Rattus norvegicus: one gene and its partners. The protein of the gene in region 1 purifies or fractionates together with the protein of each later gene. This does not show direct contact. Links are inferred from orthologs where the notes say so. Each region holds a gene or a part of one and is shown in the gene's direction. Other genes may lie near its edges.

Region 1 (2,559 bases):
GACCGCTTCTCACAAAGCCCTTTTGTGCCTCTTGGTCTTTCTGTGCAAAAGACCTTTTCACTGCTTAACTCTCACTTCATCTTCAGTTCTATCTTATTCTTCAGACAGTTCTTCCTTGGTCCACTGTATTCATTTTCACTGATTGTATACATAAGGACTCTCTTAGATGAGACTTGATTCAAGCAGACTTGGACAGAAGGAGTTGACTGATTTATGTAACTCAACAGTCCAGGACTAGGGTGGTTTCAGGCACCTCCGTTTGCCCAGGTGTTTTTCAGCCTTTTCCTAGAGTCCTTTCTGGTACCACCTTCAAAATACCTTGTCCTGTCTGTAAGTGCATTGCCCAACAGCCAGGTGGATTCTTTTAAACCCTAATAAGTTTATTTCTCAAATCAATTTGCATTTGTCCTCCACTGTTAACCTTCTCGTTAGCACCTGATTTAAAGTAAAAGCTAAGGTCTTTGCCATGGTCCTGTAGACTTTCCACCTTCTGCCTCCTTCGCTTGACTTCAGCTCCTTCAATCCTCCTCTTTTTCTTTAGCCACAATGGCTTCTTGGCTGTGCCTGCACCATACCAAGCATGCTCCTACCTCAGCACTTTTGTATTGGTTCTTATTTGTGGTGGAACACTTATCTTCCATATCACCCCCACTAGGTGGGAGAGTTACACATCTGTAATCTCAGCAGTCTGGGCAGGAGGATCTTGAATTGGAAACCAGACTGGACTATATAGTCTCAAAAGGAAAGCTCTCAGTGAAGCCAAACCTGAACAATCTTCGAAACTGAAGCCTCCTCTTTCTACCTCTTCTTTAGTATTTAGTTCCTTATACTATTTATTTCCTTATACTTAACACATCATAATTGTGTTTGTATACTTTGTCTCTTAGTAAATGGCTTAGTGCTTAAGTGTACATACTGCTGTCCAGAGTAACTGAGTTCGGTTCCCAGCACCCATGTCAGGTAGCTCACAACCACCTGTATCTACAGCTCAAGGAATCTCATATCATCTAACATCTGTGGAAATCTACATTCATGGTATATTTCCCACACATATAACACAGATAATTAAAAACTAAAAATAAAGTTTTTTAAAGGAGCTCCAGGAAACCAAGAATTTAGTTTCATTTACTGCTGTTTCTGCTATTTCCCTATTTTAAGTTGCCTGGCATACAGAAGGCATTCAATAATCTTCCCTTCTTATCATCATATAGTCATTGTGATGGGTTTCATAAAGAGTTTCTTTCAAGTATATCACATAATTTGATCGTATTCATAGACCCATACCCCCACTTCCTTCATCCCCATAATCTTTTTTTTTTTTTTTTTTGGAGCTGAGGACCGAACCCAGGGCCTTGCGCTTGCTAGGCAAGCGCTCTACCACTGAGCTAAATCCCAAACCCCTCCCATAATCATTTTTTAACAATTGTTACTACATTTTTTTCTGAGTACATGTGAAGGTTTAAAATCAGTTCTCTCCTCCACTATGTGGATCCTGGATATTGAAATCAAGTTGGCCCTATCACCCTTGATCTTTAAATGGGGAAATTCCAAGAGGTAGCCAGACATCTCTGCATAGGATCAGGGCAGGTCATCCAGGATACAAGCGTTTCTTGAAGTGATGAGGAAGAGTCATCCTCACAGCCTTAAGTGGGGCCCATTTTGCCCTTTCTTGTTCCTTTTTTTTTCTAGGCTCAGCGACAGCCTCACCAAGGACTCCATGAATATCAAGGCCAATATCCACATGATGCTAGAGGTGAGAGCAGCTCACTCCACTCGACCCTTCAAATATATTTAGGGTGATAACCTGAAGACAGGAGAAATCCAAAGAAGGGAGGGGTCATCTTTCCTTCTAAATTAAAAACCAAAGGAGTGAAAATCAGAGCAAACCTGGGACAAGACCTAGACCCAGCCTCTGTTCAGTATACTTTGTCCTCTTTTACAGGGACTTAGAGAACTACAAGGCCTGCAGAATTTCCCAGAGCCATCTCCCCATTGACTGCATCTTCCCAGCCTCCAATATTAAACAGCCTGAATGCCTTGGAATCACATAGCCCTTTTTTCCCCTAATTTTCACTAATTGACTAAGTGCTCCAGAGACCAAAATTACTGGAAGACCCATCCTTTCTGTTGAACCTCTAAAACATTCTTGCCTTTAGAACATCTTGTATTTTCCTCCAGACTTTATGCTTTACCCTCTTTTGTCACCTTTCGAACCTTGACACTGCTCCTCACACTTTAATTCCTTTTCCTAGATATTTGTATTGGTGCCCTTTGTATTACCATAAAGAATGGACTGATTGGTGAGCTGAAGATGAGATTCAATTGGTAGAGTGCTTGCATATCACACATGAAACCTTAAATTCAGTCCCCAGTTCTGTGTACACAAGCTGGATGTGTGGCACACCTGTGACCAGGTCACTCAAAAGATAGAGGCAGAAGGATTTTTAAGTTTAAGGCAATCCTGGGCTACATGAGACCCTTGAAACAAATTTTTAAGGTTCCAGTTCAAAGTGATTTGTTTCCATGGCCCTCAGCTTTTTACTTCATATCCTAAGGGTT
Region 2 (4,034 bases), on another chromosome or scaffold:
GGTGCATCCCACACCACAATGCGGCGCCGTGGGAAGACAGAGCTTGCAGAAAATGAATCTCTAGATGGGGAAACCACCTCGCAAGGCATGCATGGAAAGGAGTCTTCCGATCCTTCCTGCTTTGAGAAACATGATGAACTGGAATGGGGACTGGGGGAGAGAGTACTTTGTAAACTCTGGAGTGCTACTGGGAGAGATAAATGGGTCAGATGGGTGTGCATTTCTTCCAATATGCAGCTAGCCTGAGTGGCAGCAGAGTTGGGGACCCCTGGGTGAAGGGGTGCCCCTGGGGAGTCGAGGAAGCTAGAGGCAAGCAGCCGCTGAATGTGCTGAAACCTGGAGCGCACAGCAGCCTCTAACATCCGCGTTCCTAGCGCGAAATGTGCAAATTCCCATTTTCTCTGCTCCGGCGCGCTCATTCAACCCAGCTCGGGCTAAATGCAGGGGAATCTCTCCGTTATTATTTAACTTTCTGAGTTCAAGGAAGACAATTTGAAAGATAGATAGCATCCCTTACAGAATTCTCCCAACCTCTCTCTAAAAATGTAAAATTGCAGAAATGCACACAAGAAGCACACACATTACCGAAATAATGTGCTACTCACGATGGATTAACATTTTGGGCTTATCTTGGGGTCTTCTTTTTTCCCCCAAATATTGGATCTTAGGTGCTTTATTGCAGAATTACTAAATCTTGCCAGTGCTGGGGCTTGAACCAAAGATCTCACACATACTAGACAAGAGTTCTTACCATGGAGCCGTGTATTTAGCTCTTCCTATTCACCAATGAGCCGGAATATTTGAATCCCCAACGCTCCAACCTCCTCCTCTTTAGGGTACTCCACGGGCAACCCCACCCCAGATTGGTTCCGAGGGGTGACTCCCTAATGGGTTCCCACCCGGCCAGGTCGACCGACTTCTGTCTCAAAGCAGCAGAGTCGGGAGGAGAGGGTGACCCTTGCAGCGCATAGCCGCCGGTCAATGCCCATCTCCAACTCGCGCGCGCCAACTTTGCAACTTCACTCTCCCGCCACGGGGGGGTCTATTTCCCCCGCCCGTTTGGCGGAAGGATCCCGCGCGCTGTTGCAGCGTCGCTCAACCGTCTCTGCCCGGGCTCCGCCCCCCGTGGGCCAAACCCCGCCCCCTCCTGCAGATGGCCCCGCCCCCTCCCGCGCGCCCTATGGGCCTGTAAAGAAGTCCCGGCCCGGCCGCTGCACTCCCGCGCGCGCATCCGTGCGCCGCCCGAGGCTGGCCTGAGGAGTCGGCGGCCATTTTGTTCTTCTCGTGGTTCCAGTGGCGAGAGGAGGAGGAAGCCGGGAGCGGGGCGGCTGGGGGGGGGACCCGCCGCGGCTGCTGCTGCCACCGCCGCCGCCACCACCGCTCGTGGGGCTCGTGGCGTGAAGAAGGAGGACGAGTGAGACCCGGGCGCGAGCCGGCGGCGGCGCCGCTGCGGGAGGGTCGGCGGCGGGACGGCGATGGCGGATATCGATAAACTCAACATCGACAGTATCATCCAACGGCTGCTGGAAGGTGAGCGGCGCGCGGGCGGGCGGGCGGGCGGCGGGTTGGGCCGGTGGGGACCAGGCCCAGTAGAGGCCGGTCTTTCTCGGGAGCCGCTTGGATCTGGGGCGCGCACACAGCGCCTCCCGGTCTGGGGACCCTGCCTTTTTGTCACCCCCCTGCCCTTGCTTTCACATTCTCATTATCCGGAGTCCAAGGACCCATCAGTGTGACTTGGCAGGGCGACGTCCCAGTGCGATGAGAGCCCGTCTCCTTCATTTTCCTCCCCCAACCCCCCCACACCCCAAAGCCATCCTCCTCCCTCCAGTGCTCTTTCCCCTTGAACGTGCATCCGCACACGGACCCAGCCCGGGTGACTGTGGCTCTCTGCTCATCAGATTGTTGTCCTGAGGACAGGGGGACGCTGCTGCGTTCAGCGAGCACCTGCCAGGTAGGTGCTGTTATCCTGGAAGTGTGTTTCGCAAGAGAAACTTCAAAAAGACCTCGCTGGACCAAGGATGCAGTTAACAATCAGGTTTAAAACCCCGGGTTGCCAGGACCGAGGTAGAACCTGCCACCTTTCCACCGTTCACCCTGTGGGAACACAGAATTTCCAGTGGTTGAGTAAAGGTTAAAAATACAGCTTTCCTTTTGTCCAACCTGGGGCGGGGGGGACGGCTCTGCAGTGGATTCCTACTTTCGATATTCAGATTTTACATAGGTCTGAAAACCTGCTCCTCACAAATCCCACAGCGTATCTGCTAAAGCTAAGGAGAAGGGGAATCCAGTAACCTTCTTGCTTTCACTGCTTTTGCCTAAAATATTGGTGGAGTGGTGGACAGCTGCTTAATTCTGGTGGTAGATGTTTTCAAGTCGCTGAAAGAAAAGTCAAAAAGTGTGTTTTTTGTTTTTTTTTTAAATGGTCATTTCCCCCTCTCTAATGCTGTGTTCTGTTTTGTTTAGATAGGGTTTCTTGGCTTTGGTTTTATAGAGACATGGTCTCTCCAGTCCTGGTTATCCTGGAGCTCCATGTGTGGACCAGGCTAGCCTCAAACTCTCACAGATCTTTCTTCCTCCCCCTCCTCATTGATGGCATCTTCTGTATCACCATGCCTCCTAGATACAGGGTCTCAGGAGTCAGAACTGGCGTTAAACACTGATCCTTCTGCCTCCTCCCAAGTACTAGAATTGTATAGACCACTAAGCCTGACTTACTTGTTTTTTCCTGTGGAATGTGTGGGATGCAGGCAGACCACAGCACACATGTGTGTGGATGCAGGCAGACCACAGCACACATGAGGAGGTTGAGAGGACAGTTGGGTGTAGTAGGTTCTCTCCTGTTGTTTGGATTCTGGGAATCAAACGCCGGTCAGGCTTGCAAGGCAGACTTTCCACTGACTAAACCATCTCATCAGCTTCCCTTTCTCCCTCTTTAAAAAAAACATTTTCTATTTGCAAGAATTTGCCTGCATGTATGTATGTGCATCATATGCTGAAGAAAAGGGCATTGGGTCCTTGGGTACTGAAGTTACAGGTAGACCTGAACTATCACGTGTGGGTACTAGAAGTGGAGCCCAGATTGTCTCCAAGAACCGTCATCACTTCAGTCCCCCAACCATCTACCCCCATCTCCCCGTTTTCTGGCTGGTCTCTGTCTCAGCTGTCCACAGTGTTGGAATTAAAAGCTTTCACCACACCTGGCTTCCCATAGTTTCTTAGTTACTTTTTAAATTTTGAGACTGGATATTGCTGTGTCCCAAAGGCTGGCCTGGATTTCAGAGATCCGCCTGCCTCTGCCTCCTGAGTGCTAGCATTCAAAGCTGTACTATCATGTCTGGCCTGATTTATTCTTTTCTGTTGAACTTAACAGAGTAAGCCACCATTTAAATAACATTGAGAGTAACTAGCTGTGTAGTGCATGTGTGTGTTTCTTACTTATGGAAGTGCTTGACAGAGGCCACAGGGATCTGATCAGAGGATGATGGGATTGCATTCTTTGTAATGCCCTCAGAAACGGCTCTGCGGGTTTTGGCTCTTGTCCTTAATTCTGAAGACTCGATTTGATCTTCAGGACCCACATGAGATTCAGGAGAGAACTGGAGGGTTGTCCTCTCCCTTCCCTCCATCCACAACTGCTCTAGCAAGTGTGGCGCTGCACACATGCACACACACATAAGAAGATATAAAAGGAACTACGGGCCTAATTCTGAAAGGGAGAGATAAGATTTGTCACCTGATGAAGCGGTGTTTCTCCATATTGGTAATTGATACCTTTCAGTCAGGGCAGCTTGCTTACCCCCACACTGGAGTGTGAGGCATGAAAAGCCAGAAGTTCTAGGGCAGGGTAGCAAGAGCTCATATGTGGAACCCTTCCGTAAGATCGTCCAAACTAGGGCTGAATGAAGGAGTTGAGAAGGGGGTCTTTTAAAGGTTAAGGCGGCACTGAGCACACACCTTTAATCCTAGAAGGAAGAATTAGGAGGCCAGTCTGGTCTATATACCAGATTCCACACCAGTCAACTATATGTAATAAG
Region 3 (4,072 bases), on another chromosome or scaffold:
CAAAAAAAAAAAAGCAGAAATTAGTAAGATAAATAATATGAGTGACTACAAAGTAAAGATACACTATGTTCTTCCCGTATATTTAAAGGCGTTTTGGAGAATTACTTACACATCTTTTTATTATGCACTGAAGTTCCTCCACAGCCATTCCTAATTACTTTTCCTAGTTTTGATGCTGAAATGAACTAATACAAAACAGTTAATTGTGTGATACCATGTAACTTTCATGTTTCATAAACTGTTTCATTTTGAATTATTAGACAACACAATGAAAAGTTTTATAGGTTAACTGCTATTACTGAACGTTAGTGCCTTGGCCTAATGAAGCATTTTTAAAGCCCCTACTGTAATGCCTAAACAGCAGAATTTTGAAAGAATGGTAAGTAAAAAAAGAAAAAGAGCCCTAGAAAGAACTACTAGAAGACCCTTCTTTAAAAGGAGAAAGTAATCCTTCATGAAAAACAAAAATTCACACTATGGACCTTGAATGAAACATTAGGTAATTTTTTAAATGTCCCATTGACAAAAACTGGAATCCGACACCATTAAGTCACCCCAAGAAGTTGAAGATTCCGATGCCGCCCACCCCGTTCTCCACAGGACCTCCCTCATCACAGAAACAATCATCAGTGAGATCACCAAATATCACGAAAATGAGGCCAGCAGTGATGGTCCTTGCCCTGCAGGCGCGAACAGGAAAATCACATCCTACCGCGCCTGTGGGCTGAGCCGAAAGGAGGCCATTTCTTCCTCCCCCAGCTCCTGTAGAGCAGGGCGTCCAGGCTCCAGCACCTCCAGGGGCCTAGCAGGCGAGCCGCGTGCGGCGCAGGTCGTGTTCGGCGAGCCCGATCCACCCTGATCCTGCACGTCCACCTACCCGCCAGTCCACGCGCCTGCTTCTTGCCCTCCGTCTCCACTCTGGCTACGTAGGCCGCACTCATGACCCCGCCCCCGGTCTGGGGCACGCCCCCTCCGCCGCTCACCCCGCCCCGCGCTGGGCCCGCCCCCTCTGCAGCTCGCCTCTTCCCCTCACTGGACCCGCCCCCGCCGCCGATCGCCCCGCCCCCGCTCGCCCCGCCCTCCTGGGCCCGCCCCCTCTGCAGCTCGCCCCGCCCCGCTCGCCCCGCCCTCCTGGGCCCGCCCCCTCCGCAGCTAGCCCCGCCCTCCCTGGGCCCGCCCCCAGCTTGGTTCAGGGCGATGTGAAAGGAGGTAGAACCTCGCGGCTGCTGAGCTGTCCCGCCCCTAGCTTCTGACGGCATTTCCCATGGCGGACTCTGCTGTTCCTTACTCTCTGGGCCCAAGTGCCCGGGCTTCCAGCACCCACCGAGTCGCTACCGGTACGAACAAGAGCCTCTTCCCAGGTTGGGACCCTGAGACCTTGGTCTGAGTACTACGCACGCGCGGTGCTCTTTCTGAGGCTGCGCCAAGGGGGTGAGGGGAGAGACCCAGAGCTTCCCACCGCAGGCTGCCCTGGTTCCTTCCGTGGAAGAATCCCACAGTCTAACACCGGGATTTTAGGATCTCCCCCCTCCACGTGGTCTGTGCTTGGGACCCCAGGGAACAAGTGACCAAGGCAGGTGGTGTTCAGTTCCCTTAAACTTGGGACTGCTTTGGTACCGGTCTCTGAGATCTCAGACTCTTAGCAAGTGAACATTTGGGAGACCAAGCAATGTTTATTCTAAAGGAACCGAGCTTAGAGGGTTTTTAAGAAGCACTTGATTAAAGCACGTACGGTATGTGAGAAAGGGCAGTCCTTGAAGAGACTGTAGGCATGAAAATTTGAAATTTAATTAATTTACAAAAACAGTGGAATTTGCTTCCTGTTTAAACACCCCTTCCCCCCATCTTTTTTTATTTTTTGTTTTCAACACATCGGGAAATGAGATGTGTGAGAGAAAAGGAAACGATGCCTACAGTGTGATATTTGAGGAAGACTCTGCTACATCAAATGCATTTGCACTTGTCTGTTCTCTCTTCAATTGTAGGTACTAAACAGACCAGTGCCCTGAAACGAAGAGATGCGTCTAAAAGGTATAACCACCCGGAAAACTGGGTTTCACTTTCCTTTTATCTCATTTTAATTCAGTCTGATTTTTCGGTTTTGATGTTCTGTTTTCTGGCCTTGGGAATCTGGGAATTGAACTTGGGACTTGGTATAAGCTAATTTACTCTCATATTTCTTGAGAAAATACTTAAGAGAAGACTGTCAGTTCTCATGCAAGACTGCTATGTCCTCCAGCTTTAGGGGAACCAACCTGGAGGCTCAGGCTGTTGGAAACTATTGTGAACAGCTGTGAGAACATCATTCCTGAGCTAACCATTCCTTTCCCATCTCTTCAGGTTCACCCTTACTGTTGTTTGTGCCAGACTCGCTGAAACAGCTTCTTTCTTTATCACTTCCAGGGGCCTTTTGCCGTCTTTGTGACATTAAGTAGGGAGTTAGAAGCATCCTTACTGTTTAGAGCTTCCAAAAAGCCATGGTCTCTCATGTCAGAAAAAGATATCTAGAACAAGACTCATCTGAAGACACTAAAAGTATCTGTAATTTACGACTCCGAGATTCACTGATTGTTCTTTCAAGATATTTCCCAGATACAGGATAGTCTGTATTTGAGTTAGGCCCTTAGGATGTGTCATTGAACAAGTCGTTTCTGCTCACCGTAACTAAGACATTCCAGTCAAACTAGCACAGGTGAATACATAATTAGAAACTGCACTAAGTGATATAAGGAAAATGGCCGATGTTATGAGGAACGAATAGTTTAGATAGGGGTTGGCAGGGAGGTGGGTGATCCTTAAGCTAGTCAGGTGTGGGGGTGCACACCTTTAACCCCAGCACTCTGGAGGTAGGGATAGGCGGCGTACACTTCCACATCACTGTTCACCACTCAAGAAAGTCAGTGCAGGAACTCACACAGGGCAGGAACCTTGAGGCAGGAGCGGATGCAGAGGCCATGGAGGAGTGCTGCCTACTGGCGTGTTCAACATGACTTGCTCAGCTTACTTGCATATAGCGTAAGCCCTTGGATAACATTACCCACAATGGGCTGGGCCCTTCCCATCAATCGTTAATTAAGAAAATGCCCACAGGCTTGCCTACAGCTGGATCTTACTGAGCCATTCCCTGCTCTCCAGTGACCGTAGTGTGTGTGTCAGTTGACCTAAGCCCGCCAGAACAACATTGACTATCCTCTTTTGTGACAGAAGGTACAACACTGAGACAGAGAGCATAGTAAGGAGCTGTAGATTTCTGTCTACAGAATGGTTAAACAGTCAGTGTGCCGGACGATTTGAGCCAGCAAATTGTATGACATCACCTTTACTGATGGGCGCAAAACGGGAAAAAATAGCCTTTCATATTTAATATAAAGACCTGTAATGTAATCTGCGCTCATATCTTTTGAGTTTCTTTGATACAAACGTGGTCTTTATGGACTTAAGTGATTATAGCTCAGTAGTGGAGTGCTTGCTTAGCATGTATGAGGCCCCTGGCGTCTTAAAATAACAATAAAATGATCTTGATGAAATGATGGGATAAAAATGGGTGTTTGGTTGCAAGATTCTCATTGTCGTGTGTTCTGCTAAAAGAATTGTTGGTGAAACTGTACGAGAGTTCTAAGTTATGGGGAGTTGGAGGGGACATACTGCTCTAGACAAAGAACTAGAGTCTGAAGTCTCAAAAGTCAGTGAAGTTCCCTACCTTCACGTGAACACTTGAGAATGTGTCCGAATGTGAGGGAGAAGGGTAAGACCAGGTGACCAGCAGAGCTAGTTCTGGTGTCTGTTCCTGCTGTGCAGCTAGGCTAGGCTGTTCACTGAGGTAGCTTCGCTCTTGCACTGCAGAGCAATTGGGCTACCTCAGTGAACAGCCTAGATTATTGGGGCTGGGGGTGGTGGGGAGTAGAAGTCATGTCTGTTCGTTTCTGTGGCAGAGTAAAACAGCCCTCAAAATGTAAGTTCTTACTGTGTACATCACACTTGCCTTGAACTCTGAATCTCCCCACTGCCTGCCCCCAAGTGTGTGACCATGTACCACCAAGTCCCCTGCCCAGCCCTCCTCCTACCGGAGTCT
Region 4 (3,976 bases), on another chromosome or scaffold:
CTCAGCTTCAGCAGCCTATTGGGGGCCCCTCCCTGGTGGGGGGACTCCCCCCTTCCTCTATGAGGTTCTTCCTGCTTGCCTTAGTGCCTGAGCCACGGACTCCTCCCATCACGGATGGGAGGTGTGAAGAGTCCCCGACTTGCCCAAGTTGAAGATGACAGGCCACTATCGGTTTTGAGGTTACTTGCGTGTAAAACCAACTCATGGTTCCAGTAATAATTATGCTTTAATGTCGTCCCACCACTCCAACCCACTGTCCTGGGTTTTCTTTTTTGAGAGTGAAAGGGTACAGTCTGGGAACAAGGGTCTCACGTAGCCCAGGCAGGAGATGAACTCACTATGTAGTTGAGCATGACCCTGAACTTCTGATCCTCCTGTGTCCAGACTCCTGAGTGCTGGAATTTCAGGCACTGGAATTACAGGTTTATGATACATTGGGTTCTTTAATGTGTTACTGTTTAAAAATAATACCTTTCCCCCCTTTTCTTTCTTTACTTTCCTTCCAGAGCCGGAGATAAAACCTCAGGCCTTGCACATGCTAGACAAGTCCAAGCATTCTACAAAGGACTTACAACAGGAAGGAGATAAAATAGTATTACATCACTTAACGAAAAAAAAAACCTGACGTAGCAGGCACCAAGGCAACCTGGACCAAAACATTGCTTCGAGTTCAGTAGCAGGTGTTCATGGGTCTGGCCATAAAGACCGAGGTGAATGTGAGGCTCTGGAGGTTTGGAGCTCACTCTCAGTGTCATTGAGCCTTAGTTCCTTTTTCTGCACTTCGAGGAATTACTTTACAGTGTTTGAGAAGTCAGCGATTAACATGCTCACACCACAATCCCACGCAGGGCTGGGGTGGGAAGAGACTTGGAAAGAGAAAAACAATTTCTACAGTACTTCCGGTTCTAACTCATCAGAACGCAGCAGGGCGATTCCTCCTGGGTGGAGCCGACCCAACTCCGCCCTACAAACCCCGCCCTCCACCCCTGCCAGGCCTCGCCCGGCCGCCCGAGGCCCTCCCCGGCTGCAGTGCTTCCGGTCCAGGGGAGGCGCTAGAGAGCAGGGAACTACGGACGCGGCAGGGCGGGGCGGCCGGCCGAAGAGGCGGGGCGGCGGGCCGAGGGCGGGCTGGGGAGGGCGGAAGGAGAGCCAGGCCGGAAGGAGGCTGCAAGAGGGCGGGAGGCAGGAGAGGGCCCGGAGCTGGTGGGCCGGAGCGGCGGCGCCGCCATGTCCGACAGCGAGAAGCTCAACCTGGATTCCATCATCGGGCGCCTGCTGGAAGGTGGGTAGGGGTAGGGAAGGTGCGCGCGCGCCGAGCCTGGGCCCATCGCCGTCCGGAAGTAGAGCGCGGGCGGGCCCGCCGCTCTCGGGGGCTAGCGTCGCTTGGGCGGGGACAGGCCGTGAGGTTCTATGGCCACGGCAGCCCTCCCTACTCCCTGCGCCTAGGCTTTGGAGCGCGCTCCGAGGCCGGGGACGCTTGAGTGGCCGAGACTCAGGGTGAGACTCCTGCGAAGCTAGCTGGGAAGGGGTTCTGAGGCGAGGAAGCTTCGGTTGACAGGCTGCTGAGCACAGGCGTGTCTCTGGAGGGCCTCCGGGTGGCTAAGGGGTCGTATCTTGCCTTTGAAGGCCTGATGCAAAGGTTTCAGCGGGGGCTCCCTTGCAACAGTTGCTGGTGTTGGGGAGGGGCGCATGACATTCGGTCTGCGAGGTCAGGGTCCCAAGACCCTATTCCGTACCCAGTGCAGGGCTCACGGCCTGGAAAGAATGTGCAGCTGACAGAGAACGAGATCCGTGGTCTTTGCCTCAAATCCCGGGAGATTTTCCTGAGCCAGCCTATTCTTCTGGAGCTTGAGGCGCCTCTCAAGATCTGTGGTAAGCCCTTGCTCAGAACCCCTTAGCTTCCTCAAAATAGCCCCTTACTCCTGCCCCAGTACCTGTGTTTCCGTTGCTGGCCCTGGGTTCAAGTTTACATCTTGGACCTACCTAGTCTTCTCTGGTTCCCAGGTGACATCCATGGCCAGTACTATGACCTTCTACGGCTGTTCGAGTATGGTGGCTTCCCTCCAGAGAGCAACTACCTCTTCTTGGGGGACTATGTGGATCGGGGAAAGCAGTCTTTGGAGACCATCTGCTTGTTGCTGGCCTATAAGATCAAATACCCGGAGAATTTCTTTCTACTACGTGGGAACCATGAGTGTGCCAGCATCAACCGCATCTATGGCTTCTATGATGAATGTGAGTGCTTTGAATGTTGCTGGTTGCCCAGAACTACATTTCCTGCACTTCATGGGCCCCCTAAATTGTTCTAGTGCTGAGAACCCTGATGATGGGTCCTGCAAAGCCCCAACCAAGCTGTCTGTTATCCATGGCACCAAGGAAGGGCCTGGTGAATGGATGTACATGCAGGGCTGCCCGTTTGCTAAAGCTTCCTCCACAGCCCTGCCCGATGACACTTCCCTCTATTGCATCCCTTACTAAGCATTTAGGGTGCATGTTATGAATAAACCAGACACTGAGGTTAGGCCAGACTGGAGTTCAGGTTCTTGTGGACCCAGGTGTTGGAATTCTGGAAGGTAGATGAGGGCAGAGCAAGGAAACTGTAATAAGCTTTCTTTGCCTTCTAGTCTTTGCACTTTGTCAGAGTAACCCACAAAGTACCCTGGAGGAGTGCACAGAAAACTATAGACTGGGTTTTGTGTGGTGGGTGGTCTTCCCTACGAGCCATTTTCTTCTGTGCAGGCAAGAGACGATACAACATCAAACTGTGGAAGACTTTCACCGACTGCTTCAACTGCCTGCCCATTGCAGCCATTGTAGATGAGAAGATCTTCTGCTGCCACGGAGGTCAGGATGGTTGTGGGGTCTGTGCTTGGGCTATATCCTTAGGGGCCTTGGAAAGTTAACAGAACTCTCCTGTTTCCTGGAGTAGCTCTCCTTGAATTTGGCTGTCACTTATTACAGGTCACCCACAGCCCAGTTTGTTTTTGAGACAGGGTTTTTCTGTGTTCTGGAACTCACAAGAGTTCTGGTTATCTCTGCCTTCCAAGTGATGGGACTAAAGGCCTGCACCACCTCACCTGGCTACACACCCCAGTTCGACTGCGCTTTCCTGTTGTGGTATTTAGCATGCTATAGGCAACTCATTCATCTCCTTCCCCCACGGAGGTCTACTCTTTTTTTTTTTTTTAAATATTTATTTTATTTATTATATATGAGTACACTGTAGCTGTCTTCAGATACACCAGATCTCTTTATAGATGGTTGTGAGCCACCATGTGGTTGCTGGGAATTGAACTCATGACCTCTGGAAGAGCAGTCGGGTGCTCTTAACCGCTGAGCCATCTCTCCAGCCCGTACTCTTTGTACTTCTAAAAGCTGAGGGATGGCCAGGTGGCGGTGGCATACAAAGGGAGTTCCCTGGGTTGGGGATTTAGCTCAGTGGTAGAGTGCTTGCCTAGCAAGCACAAGGCCCTAGGTTCGGTCCCCAGCTCCGGGAAAAAAAAATGTTAATACATAAAATATCCAATAAAAAAAAAACTGAAAAAACATATTCCTAAAAAAAAAAAAACAAAAACAAAAACAAAAAAAACAAAGGGAGTTCCCAGACAGCCAAGGCCACATAGAGAAATGGGGCCAGCAGGAATATAATGAACTCTGTTTCCCTAAACTTAAGGAGCCCAAAAGATGAACCCAGCGTTGGTGGGGAAAGTGGAGCTGACCCCTGAGACCTTTCTGGGCATGGGATAGTACCTGCTTTTCGGTGTAAGGAACACTATTCTCACTCTACCACCCCAGGCCTGTCTCCAGACTTGCAATCCATGGAGCAGATTAGACGTATTATGCGGCCCACGGACGTGCCTGACCAGGGCCTGTTGTGTGATCTGCTGTGGTCTGACCCTGACAAGGATGTTCAAGGCTGGGGCGAGAATGACCGTGGAGTCTCCTTTACCTTTGGGGCCGAGGTTGTAGCCAAGTT
Region 5 (3,518 bases), on another chromosome or scaffold:
ATGTATGGATGTTAGATTCCCCTGGAACCAGAGTTACAGACAGTTGTGAGCTGCCATGTGGGTGCTGGGAACCGAACTCGGGTCCTTTGGAAGAGCAGCCAGCTAACCACTGAACTGTCTCTGCAGCCCACACAAAGGTTTGTTGTCCTGGTTTAAATCCACATTTTACACATTTAGTTGTATTCAATCATTCTTTGTTGGTGGTTTGAGAATTTGCATTCCTGTGGTTTGGGCACAAAACCCAGCAGACCACAACCTCGCTGACAAGAAGCAGAAACTGTGGATTGAAAAGCTTCCGGGACGAGAGCCGGCTCGAGCCTGCCCTTTGGTCTTCGTGGTGCTCAGGGAAGGTAGGCAGGCGGCCTGACAGCAGCACCGCACCATTGTGTGCCATGCCAGCATGCCACTCGGCGGCCTACAATGCTTTTCTGCAAGGAGAGTCGTTTTGAACTGCTTGGCTAGCAGGGTTGTTGGAAATTGCTTTTGTTGCTCTTGATGGAGGCCATGGGGAGGGTTTCAGAACAGTGGGAATAGAAACAGCAGCAGGGAGATCCCAATTAAGTACTGTGTTCTTCCCTCCTGCCCATTTGCTTCCCGTGCTGTGAAATCTCCTGTCCCCCAGGTGTCTGCGGCCTGATCGTCCCCCAAGAAGACATGCCGTTCTGTGACTCTGGCATCTGTCCCGACATCATAATGAACCCTCACGGCTTCCCATCGAGAATGACGGTCAGTCACCTTTGGGCTTTTTAGCAGCACTGCTCTGAGGGAAAGAAGCAGGCAGTTAGTTTAGTTACACTGAGTGGCCCCCTGACGGATAAACGGACTCCTTGCCCTGTCCCTCACTGTCCTCTGGGACACAGAGTCCTGTGTGCTGAGCCTACCTCCATGTCTCTTTGAGCAGTCACTTCCTGTAATCTGCAATCCTGTCGCAGGCCAAGGGGCCGTGGCCACAGTGCTTAGCTCTGTACTTGAGTTTCAATATCTGAAAACTAGGGAATTCAGTCCGGGAAGTTAGTCCCACAGGCCAGGGTTCTTCGGCAGGATACCCAGGAATGCTGGTGTTGGTAATGTTTCACTATCGCTGGGTGTGGTTGAAGCTGCTTTTTCAAAACATAAGCCAAAGGCAGGGATGCTGGGAGAACTGACAGCCGGGCGGGCACTCACGTAGTCTGTCCCCTTCCTGTCTCACAGGTTGGAAAGTTGATTGAGTTGCTGGCCGGCAAGGCAGGCGTGTTAGACGGCAGGTTCCACTACGGCACCGCCTTTGGAGGGAGTAAAGTGAAGGACGTGTGTGAAGACCTCGTTCGCCATGGTTACAACTACCTGGGGAAGGACTATGTCACCTCGGGCATCACCGGGTGAGTGTGCTGCTAAACAAATGCTAGAGATCGGAGGTGAGGGCCTGAAGAAGCGGGCCAATGAGGTATAACATTCCCAGACTGCCTTAGTGGGAAGGAACGAAGCCTCGCTGCTTTAGGAAACCTGATCCAAGAAAGGCCACATTTAAGAAGCCAGATATTGAGGACCACTAGTTGTGTGGTAGGACTGTCATTTTTTTTTTTTTTTTTTTCGGAGCTGGGGACCGAATCCAGGGCCTTGCGCTTCCTAGGTAAGCGCTCTACCACTGAGCTAAATCCCCAGCCCCCAGGACTGTCATTTTAACAAGCTTGGATTTCTGCGTTGCTTTTGTGGACTACGTTAACTGCATCTGATGCAGTGTTTCCCAGACTGCTAGATTTGTGTGGAGCACCAGAGACAGTGCTTGGTTTCATACCCTGGAGCCCGGTGCTCACATCTAATATGTGCTACATATCGAAGGGACTGCAGTAAATAAAACCACAGAGCTGGCCAATTCGATTTGTTATTGGACGTGGAATAGTAGCAAACACAAGGTGATTTCCAGCAGGCCTTCAGTGACTGCCTGCCAAGCAGGTGGTTGTCTGGTTTGGTTTGGCTTTGAGGTTTTTGTTTTTGTTCTGTGTTGCCGAGGATTGATTCCAGGGCTTCATGCATGCTTAGAAGCACGCCATGACTGAGCCTCACCTCTGCCCACTGACTACCCAATTCAACTCCGCTCTGGTGCTGCCTGTCTCTGCCCCACTGCTCTCCATAGCCGTCGGTCCTCAGATACTGCTGTCTGTCTCCCAGCTGAGACATAGCCTCCGTGAGAGCAGGCTGCCATGCTGTGTCTACTGCTCGGTCTCCACAGCCTACCACAGCACCTCACAGCACAGCTTCAGTAATGCCCGGCAGGCAAATCTGAGAACCAGCGCTCAGTCATGAAGACGAGGAGGAGGAGGAGAGAGTGTGTAAGACATGGAGGGACAAAAGCTGTGCCCTTCAGAGTGTTGCACAGAGGAAAGTACACTTACTGAGTAGACCCCAAGAACTGGTAGGTGCCCACCCAACTGTTATTCCAGAAGGAGGTAGCTGTACAGCCTGAGGTGAGGTTGGACAAGACAGGGCGAAGGGTCTAGCTGCCATCTTTGAAGGACACAAGTCCATGCAACTACTGTGGATGACGAGGTCTTGAAACAGCCCACATAGAATGTACGATCAAATGGTCTGTATGGAACCCTGTGACACATAAAATACCCAGGGGGCGGAGACAGAGCTCAGCGGTTAAAAACACTGGCTGCTGCTCCACAGGACCCAAGTTTGGGATCCAACACCTTCTGGCCTCCAACCATGGACATGTAGGCACTCGCCCGTGCGCACACAGAGTGAGTGAGTGAGGAGTGAGTGAGTGAGCGAGCGAGTGAGTGACTGAGTGACTGAGAGAGTGAGTGAGTGAGCAACTGAGTGAGTGAGTGGGTGAATGAGTGAGTGAGTGAGTGAGTGAGTGAATGAGTGAGTGAGTGAATGAGTGAGTGAGTGAATGAGTGAGTGAGTGAATGAGTGAGTGAATGAGTGAGTGAATGAATGAGTGAGTGAATGAGTGAGTGAATGAGTGAGTGAATGAATGAGTGAGTGAATGAGTGAGTGAATGAGTGAGTGAATGAGTGAGTGAGTGAGCAACTGAGTGAGTGGGTGAGTGAGTGAATGAGTGAGTGAGTGAATGAGTGAGTGAGCGAGCGAGTGAGTGAATGAGTGAGTGAGTGAGGAGTGAATGAGTGAGCAAGCGAGTGAGTGAGTGACTGACTGAGAGTGAGTGAGTGAGTGAATGAGTGAATAGGTGAATGAGTGAGTGAGCGAGCGAGTGAGTGAGCGAGCAACTGAGTGAGTGAATGAGTGAGTGAGTAATGAGTGAGTGAATGAGTGAGTGAGTAATGAGTGAGTGAATGAGTAGGTAAATGAGTGAGCGAGCGAGTGAGTGAGTGAATGAGTAGGTAAATGAGTGAGCGAGGGAGTGAGTGAGTGAACCTTTGTATTAAGACCTCAGGGTCACGCTGGAGCATGGGCGAGGACATGGTGCTTAATGTATTACTATGAAGAAGTGCTCCAGAAGGGAGAGCGCCTGCCCGCAACCCGTTTCTGCTGGAAATATGGATCCAGTGCTTGTGCAGATGGCATTGATA

What was found.
Region 2: the proteins of Uxt (region 1) and Ppp1cc purify together in Homo sapiens (affinity purification with mass spectrometry; 4 studies listed by BioGRID and IntAct, counting the BioPlex papers as one, with this or other methods). This does not show direct contact. The link is inferred for Rattus norvegicus from reciprocal best matches to the Homo sapiens genes UXT and PPP1CC.
Region 3: the proteins of Uxt (region 1) and Rpap2 purify together in Homo sapiens (affinity purification with mass spectrometry; 4 studies listed by BioGRID and IntAct, counting the BioPlex papers as one, with this or other methods). This does not show direct contact. The link is inferred for Rattus norvegicus from reciprocal best matches to the Homo sapiens genes UXT and RPAP2.
Region 4: the proteins of Uxt (region 1) and Ppp1ca purify together in Homo sapiens (affinity purification with mass spectrometry; 5 studies listed by BioGRID and IntAct, counting the BioPlex papers as one, with this or other methods). This does not show direct contact. The link is inferred for Rattus norvegicus from reciprocal best matches to the Homo sapiens genes UXT and PPP1CA.
Region 5: the proteins of Uxt (region 1) and Polr3b purify together in Homo sapiens (affinity purification with mass spectrometry; 3 studies listed by BioGRID and IntAct, counting the BioPlex papers as one, with this or other methods). This does not show direct contact. The link is inferred for Rattus norvegicus from reciprocal best matches to the Homo sapiens genes UXT and POLR3B.

What each region holds. Positions count from the first base shown.
Region 1 is NC_086039.1:3,689,902-3,692,460, forward strand, and holds the end of Uxt (protein UXT), read left to right. Parts: intron 1-1,689; coding exon 1,690-1,753; intron 1,754-1,942; coding exon 1,943-1,996; 3' UTR 1,997-2,043; downstream 2,044-2,559. UniProt on the Homo sapiens protein: Involved in gene transcription regulation. Acts in concert with the corepressor URI1 to regulate androgen receptor AR-mediated transcription. Together with URI1, associates with chromatin to the NKX3-1 promoter region.
Region 2 is NC_086030.1:40,058,490-40,062,523, reverse strand, and holds the start of Ppp1cc (serine/threonine-protein phosphatase PP1-gamma catalytic subunit), read left to right. Parts: upstream 1-1,222; 5' UTR 1,223-1,475; coding exon 1,476-1,530; intron 1,531-4,034. UniProt on the Homo sapiens protein: Protein phosphatase that associates with over 200 regulatory proteins to form highly specific holoenzymes which dephosphorylate hundreds of biological targets.
Region 3 is NC_086032.1:2,329,345-2,333,416, reverse strand, and holds the start of Rpap2 (RNA polymerase II subunit B1 CTD phosphatase Rpap2), read left to right. Parts: upstream 1-1,262; 5' UTR 1,263-1,264; coding exon 1,265-1,337; coding exon of another isoform or gene 1,338-1,361; exon of another isoform or gene 1,362-1,365; intron 1,366-1,985; coding exon 1,986-2,031; intron 2,032-4,072. Other genes in the region: Glmn (glomulin), read right to left, coding at 110-148.
Region 4 is NC_086019.1:210,913,417-210,917,392, forward strand, and holds the start of Ppp1ca (serine/threonine-protein phosphatase PP1-alpha catalytic subunit), read left to right. Parts: upstream 1-1,159; 5' UTR 1,160-1,227; coding exon 1,228-1,282; intron 1,283-1,740; coding exon 1,741-1,872; intron 1,873-2,004; coding exon 2,005-2,235; intron 2,236-2,739; coding exon 2,740-2,844; intron 2,845-3,795; coding exon 3,796-3,976. UniProt on the Homo sapiens protein: Protein phosphatase that associates with over 200 regulatory proteins to form highly specific holoenzymes which dephosphorylate hundreds of biological targets.
Region 5 is NC_086025.1:20,939,624-20,943,141, reverse strand, and holds part of Polr3b (DNA-directed RNA polymerase III subunit RPC2), read left to right. Parts: intron 1-622; coding exon 623-726; intron 727-1,191; coding exon 1,192-1,358; intron 1,359-3,518. UniProt on the Homo sapiens protein: Catalytic core component of RNA polymerase III (Pol III), a DNA-dependent RNA polymerase which synthesizes small non-coding RNAs using the four ribonucleoside triphosphates as substrates.